Oryza sativa Japonica Group: one gene and its partner. The protein of the gene in region 2 interacts with the protein of the main gene of each other region in a pairwise test. Links are inferred from orthologs where the notes say so. Each region holds a gene or a part of one and is shown on either strand. Other genes may lie near its edges.

Region 1 (7,830 bases), on a different chromosome or scaffold from region 2:
GTATTCTGATGGTTAGCAGCACCCAGCCTGCTATGCACCATAACAAAGAACATCCCTCGAGGGCACAAAATATATAGAAATAGTGCCAAACCAAAGCAAAGTACTTCATATTAGAGAAATTGATCAAGTGCCCAACTCAACGGATAGGTGGGACTAAAATACTCGCTTATCCATTCTACTGAAATCTTTCTGGGCACGCTGGATTTGGAATGAACACAAAAATGCATCCTTCTTCTGGGACAGTCAGCTCGGAGTACACTGGGATTCCCTAGTAGCATTTCTCCCTGACCTGCAGAATCTTACGACAATTAAGGTGGGAGATGTTAGGCACACTTCTTTTTGGCATGATCTTTGGTACCGGGAGAACACCATGGCTGAAAATTATGGCCCCTCTACTCGCACTCTGTGGACAAACATGCTTTCAGTGTAGCAGGCGATGTCTAGGAAGTTGAGAAATCAATTTGTGTCAAGGCTCTCGATGATGGCTGAAGATCAGTTGCTCCAACTAGGGCTTTTACTCCAAGATCAGATCTTGACATCACAATTAGATATCAGGGACATGAATGGAGCAACAGGTCTGCTGCAGACCAAACAAATTTACTACGCCGTGTGCGATGACATAGACCTGTGCAGCTGTGCAACAACTGGAAGTTCATTTGGGAGAATAAAGCACCTTCGAAAGTGCAGCTCTTCGCATGGCTCCTAGCCAAGGAAAGACTCCCTACCAAGCTAAACCTCAACAAGAAGAAAATAGTACAATTGCCACTATGTGACCTTTGCAATGGGGCAGATGAGACAGTTTAACACATTATGTATCCAGTGCCCCTTTACAATTGCTCTCTGTAGACTGATCAGTGTTCAGATCAACATTTTGACTGTCAAGAACATGGCGGATTTGCTGCTCCCACTGCAAATTCCGATCAAACACTACTGGGTCTTCTTCCTTCTATGCTTTTGGGGCCTTTGGAACCATCGACATGATGTGGTACTCCGTGGAAAAATAACATATCTACGCAGGTTGATCGTGAGGTGCATCGACGACGCTACTCTTTGGACTGAGCGGCTAATCGTGGAGGATATGAATGCTTTTTCAGCTTGGAAAGAAATCATCTCTTCCTCCCTTTGATCTCTTGATTTGTAATGAAACCTGAACTTTACCTCCCTTGCAATGAAAATACAGGTGAGGCAGTTCTCCCCCCGGTGAACTTTCTTAAAAAAGATAAAAAAAAATAAAGATACAAATTGGATATGGAATTGGGGGCTCCGACGTGTAAGGAAATACAAACCTAGCTACTTCCATGACTGTGTTTCACTTTATCACATGTTGAAACAAGACGACGTCAGTCTAGACTTGAATCAAATAGCTTGAGTTTTAGACTTCCAATAGCTAATTTGTTAGCTGTTGTCGGGCTATCCATGTCCAAATGGGCTAGCTTGTCTAGCTAAAGTGTAAAGCAATTTATAGACTAGTGTCACAAGGAAAGACTTGTTGGTGTCACTCGTGGGACTATCTACTTGGGCCAAGGCAGAAGTTATTGGTGTCTTATATATGACACATGCCCTTGTATATTGGATCTCACCTTTGACTCACAACCTGTAACTGCCCACGGGCTCAAGATGCTCTATTGCCTCTAATTTTTAGACCAGGTGTATGGATGAAAATGGTACGGAAATTTTTTTGACCATACCGATGCCGTTTTCATTAAAAAAAATCGATATCATTTTTGATTGTTTCTGACTGTAAAATTTAGTTTTCTAATGTTTGTATGTGTCATATTGAAGTTGCTACTAAATATATAGTTAAATTCATAAATGTAGAACCGTTTCTATAAGACTAATAAAAATTGTATCGTTTCCTTGTTCCCCCATTCAATCCTTGCATGTTGGGCATCACAAAATTGACAACACTGCCAGCTTTATGCAGCTGCACAACAACAGCTTCATGGTGCAATTTCTCTTTTTTTCAGATCATAGTACTCCCTGAGTTGAGAACTTGTCTTGCCAATTATTGTTTTGAACATCAAAAGAGGCAACACTATTAAAGTCTGATGCAAAGTAGAGTGGAGATATAGCTAGCCCTATCCAGGTAGGCATAGCATAATCTTTGCTGGAGTCCTGGAGCTAGCGCAATAGAGCTTGCACTAGCCAGTTCATGCACCTTCCTGTACTTAACGAAATACCCGGATGGATGCACCTTACTGTTTGTTACGCGAGGCAGATGATGGGACATCCAGACAGACAGCTGAGAGAACATCTTTAACAAACCATCGCCCCTCCATTTATATCTGTGCTAGTGACTAAAATTAATTAAAGGCAAAAATTTACGGACATAAATCAAATTTATGTTCATTTTCTAAAATATTATTAACATATCCATACATTGTAACGGACTAGACCCATATAATTGAGTCGATTAGGAATGGACTGGAGGGTGAATTGAGAATAAAGCACTGGATCATGCAATTATTGCGCACACTATATATGTGGGAAGCAGCATACAAACAGGTTGCATGAGCAGTGAGAAGAGATGGAAGTACGACGACTCAACTTTTATAATAGTAAAGATACTAAAAAGTTAAAAATATCCAGGTGTTGGATATAGGTATACCAAGCGCATTTTTTTTCTTTCGCGGGAGAACAATATGCACACTCTGCCTATGACATTAGTTAATGATATTAATTCCCATAGTTTCATGGAGTGATATCAGCAATGTTCCCTATCAATAAAGGGAAATTTCACTATGCGTGGTAGTTCGAAAGGAGCGGAATATTCCCCAACTTTGCTGTAAAGTTGTAGCTAGGTTTTAAAAGGAAAAGACCCATGAGATCATAAGGGTGCTCTAAAAAAGGCAGGGTAATGAGTAGGACAGAGTAGTAGAGATAGGTTTAACATAACGAAAGTGCAAACCTGGCACTATTCTTTAGCACCGTACAAGTTCGCGAGCCCAGAACACAACCAATGCATAAGTTTCTAAAGTCTAAACAATCATATCGCTTTCTTTCCCTTTGTACATACAACAATCAAGGCAATGCATATACAATTTGGCCCAAATTAACTTGATTTATCTGGGCAACTTTGACAAGTAAAAAACCTTTGTGCTGTTTTCCATGTGTGTACCATTTGTATTTCTTAAATGCTAAAGAAATTTGCCCTGATCATTGCAACCGCAACTACATTAGTACAATTGCTATGATGATGATGCTGAGGCCGGTACAGGCTTAATTGGGTCCTTTCTTGGTGTCACAATCTGCAGAGTGTTTCAGAGCAACTCACCATTTCATCATTGTTCATCAGCTCAGAAATTCTTCTGCTATACTCACCCACTTGCCAATTTGCCATTGCCAACACCTTACAAAGAGAGGCACTCCTCCATTGCAATGCTCCATGGTAGCTAGCTAGCTGCACACCACAAGGCTTAGAAAGAGTGTGTGAGTGAGAGACTGAGAGATGAGCAGCCATGAGAGGTTCAGGCTGTCCCATCTCATGCCAAACTCATGGTTCTACAAGCTGAGGGACATGAAGAGGCCCAGGCCAACATCAAGCCGGATGATCACCGCAGCAGATCATGCAGCAAGAAGCTCCAGGAGATCGTCGTCGTCGTCAAGCAGCATCCACCACTACTACCTCCATGGACATGGAACCACCACTCCCAAGCCTCTCCCGTTGTCACCGCCGCGACGATCCTACTACCCCTACCTGGAACGAGCCAAGCAGATGCCACTGATGGAGAAGGAATCTCAGCTCATCTCCCACTCCCCTCTCCACCAAAGAATCCCCGCCACAGCCATTCCCGGAGACCACCACGACGGCGAGTTTCAAGACTTGCAGCTACGTCCTATACGCACGAGGCCACCGTCGGCGGCGGCGGCGTCGGCCGAGCCGAGGAGGACGGCGAGCGGGAGCGGCACGTGCCCGAGCTCGCCGAGGATGAGGAGCAGGAGGCTGCACGTTCTCGGCGGCTGCGAGTGTAGGGCTGGTAGTGGTCGCCGGAGGAGCGGCGGCGGTGGGTTCGCGGTGGTGAAGGCGTCGGCGGAGCCGGCGAGGGACTTCCGGGAGAGCATGGTGGAGATGGTGGTCGGGAACGGGATGCGGTCGCCGGAGGATTTGCTGGAGCTGCTCGAGTGCTACCTGTCGCTCAACGCGCGGGAGCACCACGGCGTGATCATGGAGGCGTTCAGGGGCGTCTGGGTTGAGATCGTCGCTGATGCTGATTGTTGCGTTGGGTTGTGAGCTATATTGATTCTGTTTTTGTATAGTTGGATTGATCGAATCGATTGAGCTGTAAATGGATATATTGTGCCGTTAATTTTTGGTGTTAATGAATCAAGCTGGCATATGTACAATGTTTTGTCCTGTAATTAAATCGAGGTATTCAAGGGCTATGCAGGGAAACTCTAGACTTCACGCTTAGTTTTGACAGTTAGCCATGCCAAATTAAACGACCGAATTTTTTTTCCAAACAAATTCTTCAAATAGCTGCATAATCATAAGCTTGGGAAATTCACAAAGAATACATGTCGCTGATGATTATTTGTTTGTGAACAGTGACTCGTGAGAACAACGTAGCTACGTAGCTATGCGGGACGGATCCGTTAGTAAGGTAAGACGTTTGTGGTGACTTTGTTAATCTTAAAATAGGGTGTGTTTATAAAAATGAGTCTGCGTGTATGCGTGTATATATATGAGTATACATGTTTTCAAAATATCTATGGAAGCCATCGTTTGACTTATTTTAAGCATATAAGCGCAACAGCATATTTACAAACAAAAAATAATTTTTAAATAAAACTTTTATATACGTGTTCTTAGCGATCTAAAAGAAAAGGCTGAAAAATAAACTTCGATGAAAAAAACCTTAAAATCAACTTCAAGTTTAAGGTTAAAAATTTAAATTTTGGCTGATAAGCATAAACATAAACATAAGTAAAAAAGATGAGTCTGTATGTCTTTGACACTAGATTGATTGGACAACCAAGTACAATTGGTACCGGCTTGGTATGGGTTTATCAACCAACACGGTACTGGACACGTTCTTTGCCATTGGCTTTATGTAAGGAGGGGTGAAATATTAGAGATAATCCCTTATATGCCATTGAAAATTGGTCTGATCCCTTATATGTCACTAAAAATTGGCTCTTCCCTTATATGCCATTGGTCTAAATTTGCGCATCCTCTCATGCTACTACCGTCAGTTGACCGTGTGTTGAACGTTAGCTTTCAAGTAAAAAAGACATATTTGCCCTCTCTGAGTTGTTAGGCATGCCCTATAATCAAAAGGGTAAATATGCCTTTTTTCCTTAAGAATTAACGGTCAATACACAGTCAACTGACGGGAGTGACATGAGAGGGTGTGCAAATTTGGATTAATGGCATATAAGGGAAGAGCCAATTTTCAATGGCATATAAAAGGATCAGACCAATTTTCAGTGGCATATAAGGGATTCTCTCGAAATATTAAGTTGGATATGGATATTGTCAGATAACAAATCACTTATCCTGTAACATATTCTATATTATTTTCTTCAAAATGGATTCATGAACGAATATCCATTTGTATTTTCAATTGATAGATATTAAATATAGACAAACAATTAAAGTGTTAAAAGAGATTCATCAAGGAAAAAATATACGATATTATCAAGTTAATCAATCTTTTATTATGGTTGTTGGTGAATTTATAATATATTTTTAAGTATGTTTCATAATATGGGACATACCGGCTATAAAACTCTTATTGTATTTTAACCCATATTTCTTAACGGATTCGGATTAAAACTCGGATAATAACGAATATCCTACTTTCTCTTCTATATTATTTTCCTTAGAGTTGGATCAGGTGGGTGGTCAAGAAATATCCGTTCCGTTTTCGATCCTGTAATGGTAAATTTGTGCCTGTTCTTTTCTCCAACAAAGTTAGATAAACTTTTGGATGCTCGTGGCATGCTTTTCAAACTGCTAAACGATATATTTCGTGCGAAAACTTTCTATATGAAAGTTATTCTAAAATATAAGATTAATCCATTTTTCAAGTTTGTAATAATTCAAACTCAATTAATCACACGTTATTATCACCTCGTTTTGCGTAAAACACTTAATCTTTATCTTCATCTTCAGGAGATTCAAACACCTATATTTTCCATTTTAGCCTCCTTTAACTGCGACGTTGGTCTCGCAAGAGTCCCACTGCCGAACCCAGCTACGTGTCGCCCAACGCCTCTACCTAGTCTCTAGATTTTTCACTTTTGATGCTTTAAAAAACTTATTCTACAAATAAACCCCTTAAAAACTTATTTTAGGAATGAACCCTTTTCACGGCGCATTAACAACATTGGCGTCGTCCTCCTTCAAATAAGTGACTTAGCATTTAGTGAGGGCAAGGGGAACCGTGGCAACGTCATTAGCGTTGTCACGTTGGACCATGACGCTGTTAATATTAGCGTCATCAAAATGATCAATTTCTTCGAATAAGTTTTTAGGTATCTATTCGTGGAATAATTAGTTTTCTAATTGGATAAAAGGTGAAAAATCCACGCCAGTTCCTCCTCCCCTTCTCCCAGCGCCACCGACCACCGCCCCTCGCCAGGAATGTCACCGCCAACGACAAGGACGAGGCACCGCGGGAGGATCTCCGGCCCGAATCTCGCCGTGCGCCCCAACTCTAGGCCAGCGGCAGATCTGGTCCCGCTGGATCCGGCCTCCGTAGTCCACAGCCTCGCCGCGGACGGCATCTCCTCGCCGGAGTCGCTCTCGCTGCTCCCTCACCAGCCGCCACCCTGCAGCGCTTCCCCCCAACATCGACAGCAACAAAGCTCCCTGAAGTTCAACATCTGTGTTTTCCCTTTTCTGCTAAGGTCAGTGAACTTATCCCAAAACCACAGCCGAAGACAAGATTGAATCATAAGGTCGCTTGGATATATGGGGACATTTCAAACTAGATGTGTTTAACGTATATGAATTATAGTTGCATGTAGCATGCTGAATAGAACTTGAATAGATCGGTGAATGAAAAATGTGGATGGGATATATATAATTTGGATTATGTACCATGATTGTTTTTTTTTTGTCTTGTTCGATTCATTTATATAGTGTAATTATAGAATGCAAGTCCATCTATCTAATTAGTACTTGTGTCTGAGAAAAAAAATCCATCTAATTAGCACTTTAAAGTTATATACTGATATAGTTTAGATTAGAGAAAACTGAAACTTAGTTTTTTTTAGCAACAACTTGTTGCTGATAGAACTCTGTATGATAATGGCTTTGCAGGAAACTTATCCAATCATCTTTTCGATCATTTAAGCTTTCCGATCATGTATGGACCATGTAAAAATGCATGGCTACAAAACTGGAGTAGCTCCTTTCTTTATTAAATAAAAAATTGAGCAAACTCTTGTTTTTTTCCCTTTATGTTATAGATAGAAAAATCTTGTCCAGCATGTTTTCAGAATAGAATGGCACTGATTTCCCGTTATGAAAAACTTGATAAATCATGCTGTCTTAAGTAGAATATAGTTCACACAAACTTTCATGAAATATATAGTAGACATGACCATAATTGGCCAGTAGGAGTGAAGTGTCCTGAGCAAAAAAACCAGGAGGGAAATGAGGGTGGTGTGTTCACCGAGGACGCTGATAGCCCCATACAAACATCTTACGCCCGCCCTCATTCACCGCGCTCGGTCGAACTAGCTCAACCTCAAATGTGCCCATGTCTCCTAGTGAACAATGCGCCATGTGCAGCCACACAAAACTGAGAAACTCCCCACCCATGCTGAGCTGCCTTGCATGGTTCTCGCCACGGGACTTGCCGGCTGCATAGAGGAGAACCC
Region 2 (7,434 bases):
CTGATCGACGCGCAGCTCGCGCAGTCCAGCGGCCTCCTCCACTCCTACGCCGCGCACCACCGCCCCTTCCTCTCCCCCCACGACAAGCAGGAGCTCGACTCCTTCCTCGTACGCATCTATTTAATTTCTTCCTGAGTTCGATGCGCCATGCTTGATTAATTTCACTAGGTTGAATTTAATCTTTGCATTTGTGCATGCATGCATACATTACATGCAAGTATCATACCGTACGCACTAGCTACATGATTAACTAGAAGCTATCCAGCCAAGCTAACTGTATATATGCATACTGAAATGATCGATGCAGGCGCAGTACATGATGCTGCTGTGCTCGTTCAGGGAGCAGCTGCAGCAGCACGTCCGGGTGCACGCCGTGGAGGCCGTCATGGCGTGCCGCGAGATCGAGCAATCCTTGCAGGACCTAACCGGTAATTAACTACTACAGTATCATACATGCATTACATATTTTCCACTATATATTACATATTTCATTACTTTCCCTCTCCTTCTCGCCGCCTTCTTTTCTGTATTTTTTTTTCGATTTCCATGGTGTCGTCTTTATGATTTTTGTTCACCTTTTTGCTCTTCTCGTTAGTTAGATTAGATGGTGAAATTGTTTTTTTTTAGTTCGTTGCCGCTAGCTCTTGCAGTGATATATTAGTTGCAGCGTCTTGTTCAAACATATATATGGTCTCTTGATTCCCTCTCAACAGATTTGCATGCCTTGACTTCTAAGGTTCCGGTTTCTACAGGTGTATTCAGAGGAGATTAGTTAAATATGAAAACTCTAACACACGTACCTAACAGCGACTTTATTGCTGATGTTTATACTCGAATCAATGGAATGATAAATAACACGGAATTACCAAGGCCCACATAGATGGCAGCCCGTATACTAGGGAAAGCCCAGAAGCCCAACGGTAGATGTCACGAAAACAATTTCAGATATTCCTTTTTAGCATAAAATCCTTCCAGTTCAAAAACAAGGGCACCAATTTTTTTTTATAATCATTTTGTGTTATTAACAGAGAATAGCATAGTCAAGGTTTCTAAGGCCTATATATATATATATGTGTACGTAGTTAGACGTGATACCCTTGGTAAAATTAACTTAATCAGTTCATATATATACTGATATGAGGTGACTAGCTAGCTATTTTTCTTCTTTTCTCACAAAGTCTCAATTGGAGGTTTATGATCAGTTGAAATAAAAAAAATTCCAACAACAAAATTTGAACCAACTATTTGGCATAAATCTAATGAAACTATCCTTTGCTAAGAGAACCATGGGTTGGATATATACATCCTTATTAGTGTAGAGGCTGGATATTAATCTGTTATCTAAGAAAACAATCCATGAACTTATAAAATGCATTTAGCCATCTCCGGCGCAGATCAAGCGCTGCCATTCGGTCATGGCCGATTGGTTGGTTGGTTGCTAGCTAGCGAGAAATCGCTGAGAGGATATTGAAAAGCTAGTAGGTAGTGTAACAGCTACCTAAGCCTTATTTGGAGAGCTTTGAGATTTTAGGAAGCATAGCTAGTTAGTAGTCAATCACTCAATTGGTGAGAATATGGAAAAAAATAGGTTTTCTAACTTTAAACTTCTAGTTCATTTTTTAAATTCAATAACTATAATTTCTTAGAATCTAGATGAAAATTTAAACTGTTTGAAAAAAAAGGTTATATAAAAGAAGCTACGACTATCAAAAGCTCCCTCAAACAGAATCTAGGTTACATGAAAGTCATCTAGGTTCCATGCTAATCCTGGCTCGGAGTTGAAAGTCCATGCCTCTCGTCTAATCGACTAGCTAATTAAATGATTCAGGTGCTTCGCTTCTGTCGAATAATATATATCACACACGACCATGGAAAGTGGAAGGTGTGTCACATGACATGATATGACCGGCCGATCGAGCTCTTGGCGATCGTCCTCTTATCATGAGGGGCATCGTCATAATCATGATGCATCGATTGGGATTCAACTATAGTAGTCATTGCATATTCAAAAAGCATCAGGGTTGATGTAATGTAACTGAAGAAAAACACCCATGATGATTGGCGAAATAGATGTTGAAAACTTAGCATGCGCATACATACGTAAACTTCAATTGTAGGTAGAGAAAAATTACATTTCACCTGTAAATTAGGACACTGGGAAGTTGTTAAATTACTAGTCCACTCTTTTGACCTGGATTCTAAGGTTCTTTATAGGTTGAATTTTTATTTTTATTTTTTATTTTGGTGTGTGTGCGCGCGCGCGCTTCAGTTGGTTTTGGTTGCTTTAGAGCATAACATCAAAGCCATGCTACTTTAAAAAAACTATAATAATAATAATAATAATAATAATAATAATAATAATAATAATAATAATAATAATAATAATAATAATAATAATAATAATAATAATAATAATAATAATAATAATAATAATAATAATAATAATAATAATAATAATAATAATAATAATAATAATAATAATAATAAGAAGAAGAAGAAGAAGAAGAAGAAGAAGAAATAAAGACGAAGATCGAATTGGAGCTATAATATGCTAACTTATCTAGCTAGGCAGTTCAAAGTACACTGGTAGCTAGCTAGTAGTTCCTGCGAGCTGTTTCATGCAGGCAATGCAGCTGGCGAGAGCTGCATATGCAAAACTCCAAATCAGAGACATCTTTTCGATTGGGTAGCTTTCAAGCTGTTTCAAGTGGCCATGCGCATAGCTCGTACAACTGTCTATCTCTGCTCGATCTCACACGTTCCAGTTCATGCAGCTCGATCGATCGCCGACGTCGACAAAGCCCTCATGCATGCCTCCGTACTGCATGCATGCCCTAGCTAATTAGCTCTAACTCACTGTGTAGCACAATCTAGATTGAATATAACCGACAAACTTTGCTAGCTACTAGCTCTTCTTTTTCATGTTATTATACTTGCTTCAAGCTAATCTTTAATTTTTCATGTTATTAGATATAGGAATAACTAATCAAATAAATTAAAGAAATAGGACAGTTACAAGAGATGTGATCATCAATTAATTAACTACAGTAGTTGATTTACACTTACCTGGATGCATATGCAATTGATCATCAGGTGCAACTTTGGAGGAAGGGACAGGGGCGACCATGTCGGAGGACGAGGATGAGACGGCGCCGATGCTGGAGGGCCCGATGGATATGGGCTCGGACGGGCACGACCTCATGGGCTTCGGCCCGCTCATGCCCACCGACTCCGAGCGATCCCTCATGGAGCGGGTCAGGCAAGAGCTCAAGATTGAGCTCAAGCAGGTACATGCATGCATTGTTATTAATTTCTTCTTACGTCTTGCATGCACCTACATTCGTCTCTTCAACTCATGCATGCATATATCTTATCAATGTTTAAGCGTGTTCATTTAACATGCTTAAACATTGATAAGAGACTGTTCATGCAAGGATCATGCCGAGCTAGCTAAAATAGTACTACTGCTGCTAGCTAGCTGCTTTTTAGGGCAAAAACAGTGCATGATCAGCTTAAATGAGCTAGTTACTAGCATGAAAATCTCCTTCTTAAGTTCCTTGTACTGTGTCATAGAATACTTTGACTGAAGACTGAGCCTAGATCATTGCATATCATATTAATTGGTGTCATGTTTGATGCGGCGCCTCAGCTATATATGTGACTGACAATAACTGACTAAGACTAGCTACTTCTGGATGCATGCATGCTATTGCTAGTTCTTCAATCAGTTCCTAAATTAATTATATTGGATTATGTAATTAACTAGAGGGTGATACGTACTTTTGCAATCTTATCTCTGATTAAATTATTAAATTCGTTACAGGGCTTCAAGTCAAGGATTGAGGATGTGAGAGAAGAAATATTGAGGAAGAGGAGGGCAGGAAAGTTGCCTGGGGACACCACCACCATACTCAAGCAATGGTGGCAGCAACACTCCAAGTGGCCATACCCCACGGTGAGTACATTGTACCTATCAAGCATGCTTGCAAGAGTGCAACTAACTAGCTACTAGTCGAGATAGCCCTTCTTAGCTGTTCTCCAACTTGTTGATCAATATATCTTGATGTGCTAACTTTACAATTAATATTTATATATAATATAGCAAGAAGCAATAATATTTATTAATTAGCTAATCAGATATGCACGAAGAATTGCATGGATATAATACAGTTGGTTGAGTGGCATATATATTTTCTTGGTACAGGAGGATGATAAGGCAAAGCTTGTTGAAGAGACTGGCCTGCAGCTCAAGCAAATCAACAACTGGTTCATCAATCAGAGAAAGCGTAACTGGCACAACAACTCACAGACATCAACCCTTAAATCAAAGCGTAAAAGGTAAACAAACCGTTATCCAAGTATTTTATCCACAGTAATACAATGTTGATGTTTCAGTAATTAACAACTGAATTATAACACAAACTTCTTTTTTCTATATGTAATACAGGTAAAGGGCAGAAAAAAATGTATACCTGACGTACTCGCTAATCAAATCAAAAGAAGACATGGTGACTCATAAGTAATAAGATCATCTTAAATTGTATATCTAGTTATTAATTAGTCAGAGGTGACAAATTCATGACATACATACTAGTCTGACCACTGGCATATGCGTTGTAATTTTTGAGCAGATATGCTCAAGCAAATTCTTCTTGTTGGTATAGTTTTTAATTTTGTTGTCGTGGGTGTACCTGCATGCATACATAACCCCAAGACTAATTCATTTGCTGTGCATATACATTGACCATTCTATAACCTTCTGCTAGTCAAATAATCAAAAAGCGCACGCCATTGCAATCCAGCATTAATTCAACTGCGTTTATGGATGGAACGGAATCTCTATCTATATTTGTGGGCCTTGTATCAAGTAGTAGCAGGTATGCCAAACTGGAGTTGGACTATTGGTGATTAATTGGACAATTAGGCCTAACCAACACCACAAGACAAATTAAGGCTGGCACTAGCCTCTCATGATAATCCCGAAAATTTCCGGCGTATATGCGAGAGCCCTTCCAGCAAGCCAGCAGGGACACAAGACCAACCATATATATATTCACGTTTCTGTTTTTTAGTGTGTGGTTAGTGATAGTTTTGCATCGTCTTCCTCATTAGTATGTGGCTTAACATCTTCCAGATAATCGCTGTGCTGATTGTCAAATATTCCAATCAATTAAGGCTGGAGCTAGTGCACGGCTAGCTACGTCTCAACCAGAACGGACAACTCCGTTGAGACCTCACTGTCTCGGAAGACGCTGCACGTTGGTTCCCTGAAGATTGGCAGCGAAAAACAGCACCCATAATCCATATAGAGGTTGCTATCCAGCTACTCATGTCCAAAATCTATAAAGCAACCAAACATATACTGATCGTAAATTCAAAGTTCTGGTGAAAAAAAAAAAGTATCTGATGCGTCAATCTGTGTTGCTCTCAGACGTAATATTCAGAGATTCAGACATAACACGGGTCACATACAAGCTCCAGTTGTTGATTGTTCGTTGTAGACAAGCAACAATCTACACAGGCAATGTTATCACCAAATTCTGATAAAAAGTTCCAAATCTAAGTTGACATTTCATGGCGATCCTTTATTCAGAGAAGAACGTATTCAAGAATGATCAACACGGGGAGCTGATAATTTCTACGAAACGGGTTCACAGTATACCACACCCGGAGGAATCCAAATTATGTTTGCAGTTTACCACCCAGACCAGTCACAGATCGATTAATATATCGACATCACCTATAATAACACTACAACCACCCTAATGTTTACATTGTTCACAATATACCGATTTCGTCACAAAGACATATCTCCAATTTCTGCATTTCCTTTACTTGCCGTAGTAACCTTGTGGAGGAGGGTAGGAGCCCTGAGGCGGGTAGGAACCAGGTGGGGGATAAGAGCCAGGGGGAGGGTATGCACCACCCTGGGGGTAACCTGCCGGAGGGTAAGCAGCTGGTGGATAACCTTGAGCAGGCGGAGCAGGAGGATAGCCACCATAAGGCTGACCGTATGCTGGCTGTTGTGGTGTGTACCCAACAGGAGGTGGAATAGGCTGATCGATGCGCGACATTTGCTGCATTGGAGGCACTGCCATGGGCTGTGGGCCGAACTTCCCATCTCTCTTGTCCATTTCAATTTTGTGTTGGGTCTGCACATGCATTTCAGTGGATAAGATGGATACGCAAAGGTTAAGAAGAGTGAGTAAATAATCACCAAAGATATTATGTATGTTTACCTGCATACAGGCGCAAACCCTGCAAAAAAAAAATGGTGCACAGGTCACAAGATTATCAACATTGGGGGACTTAACTATGGAGAAGAGAAAATAACAGAGTTATGAGAGCTTACGAGCAGTAGACCATATCAGACAAGCAGGAAAGGATTTGGGAAGCCTCTGAAAGCTCTTCACTACCAACAATAGCGGCAACTATAGAGAAGATACAAGCAATTTGTTGGAGGCAGAACATGAAGCCCTACAGGAAAAGAGTGATCTTCTGCAGTGTTATAGTCTCATAGAAAGGGAACATAGGAATTATACCTAAAAGTTAGTAAAACAAACAACAAGAGGACAGTGACAGTACAATGATGCAGTTATCGCATTTAGTTGTCTGTATGTTGAATTCATCTTGGAGCAAGAAGCGGGTTGAAGCAACTGAATTACCAAAGCACAGAAACACCTGAAAAATAAAGTACTAGTTAGTTCTAAGGTAAGCACAAAAATAGCATAATTAAAGGAATAGTGACAGTATTGGAGATTACTCCATTCAAGACAAGCATTACATGTTCCCGTTCTAATCTGAGATATATACGATTGATCAAACAAGATAACAACAAAATACAGCCAAATTATCCTTACCCCAGAATCATTGACCCTGGTGCTCTTTCATTGAAAAAAGAAGAACAGAAAAAATATTGTCATACTGAACTGTATTTCAGACTATCAGAAATACCATGAAAAGCATGCTTTTTGAGCACAACAAATATGTGAAATCCAGAAATCAGTAGAAAATATAGGTAATCAAATATTACAGAAGGAACCATCAATACTCCTTTTCTTTAGCAAGGGGTGGCCACCACTTTCCCCCCCCCCCCAAAAAAAAAAATAAATAAATAAATAAATAATCATATTACCGGAAATGGAACAGTCTTTACAGGCTGATTACAAAGCCAGATAGCAAAGAAAAGAAATATAAAAACCATCAATACTCATAGCCACATGAGAACTGTTACATGTGACATGCTGCCTATAAATTCAGCCTAATCAGTCATCAAAAGGTTATCAGCAAAAAAGGGAATGGATCTTGTACCTCAGTAGCAAGACAGAACTCTGGGCATCGGCTTTCACCACACTTCCCACTGCATGGCATGTACCCAGCACAGCAGACATATCTACAAGACAGAGGTGCAGGGGAATGGATTCAGGGAGGTCT

What was found.
Region 1: the proteins of homeobox protein knotted-1-like 3 (region 2) and transcription repressor OFP1 interact in a two-hybrid assay, tested with the Arabidopsis thaliana proteins (2 studies listed by BioGRID, with this or other methods). The link is inferred for Oryza sativa Japonica Group from reciprocal best matches to the Arabidopsis thaliana genes KNAT7 and OFP1.

The regions. Positions count from the first base shown.
Region 1 is NC_089039.1:15,146,093-15,153,922, reverse strand, and holds transcription repressor OFP1, read left to right. Parts: upstream 1-3,185; 5' UTR 3,186-3,448; coding exon 3,449-4,231; 3' UTR 4,232-4,341; downstream 4,342-7,830. Other genes in the region: uncharacterized protein, read right to left, coding at 7,619-7,830.
Region 2 is NC_089037.1:1,348,328-1,355,761, forward strand, and holds the end of homeobox protein knotted-1-like 3, read left to right. Parts: coding exon 1-108; intron 109-307; coding exon 308-428; intron 429-3,093; coding exon 3,094-3,287; intron 3,288-3,823; coding exon 3,824-3,955; intron 3,956-4,204; coding exon 4,205-4,342; 3' UTR 4,343-4,447; coding exon of another isoform or gene 4,448-4,451; 3' UTR 4,452-4,781; downstream 4,782-7,434. Other genes in the region: uncharacterized protein, read right to left, coding at 5,832-6,152, 6,240-6,258, 6,353-6,477, 6,586-6,681, 7,312-7,393. UniProt on the Arabidopsis thaliana protein: May be involved in secondary cell wall biosynthesis.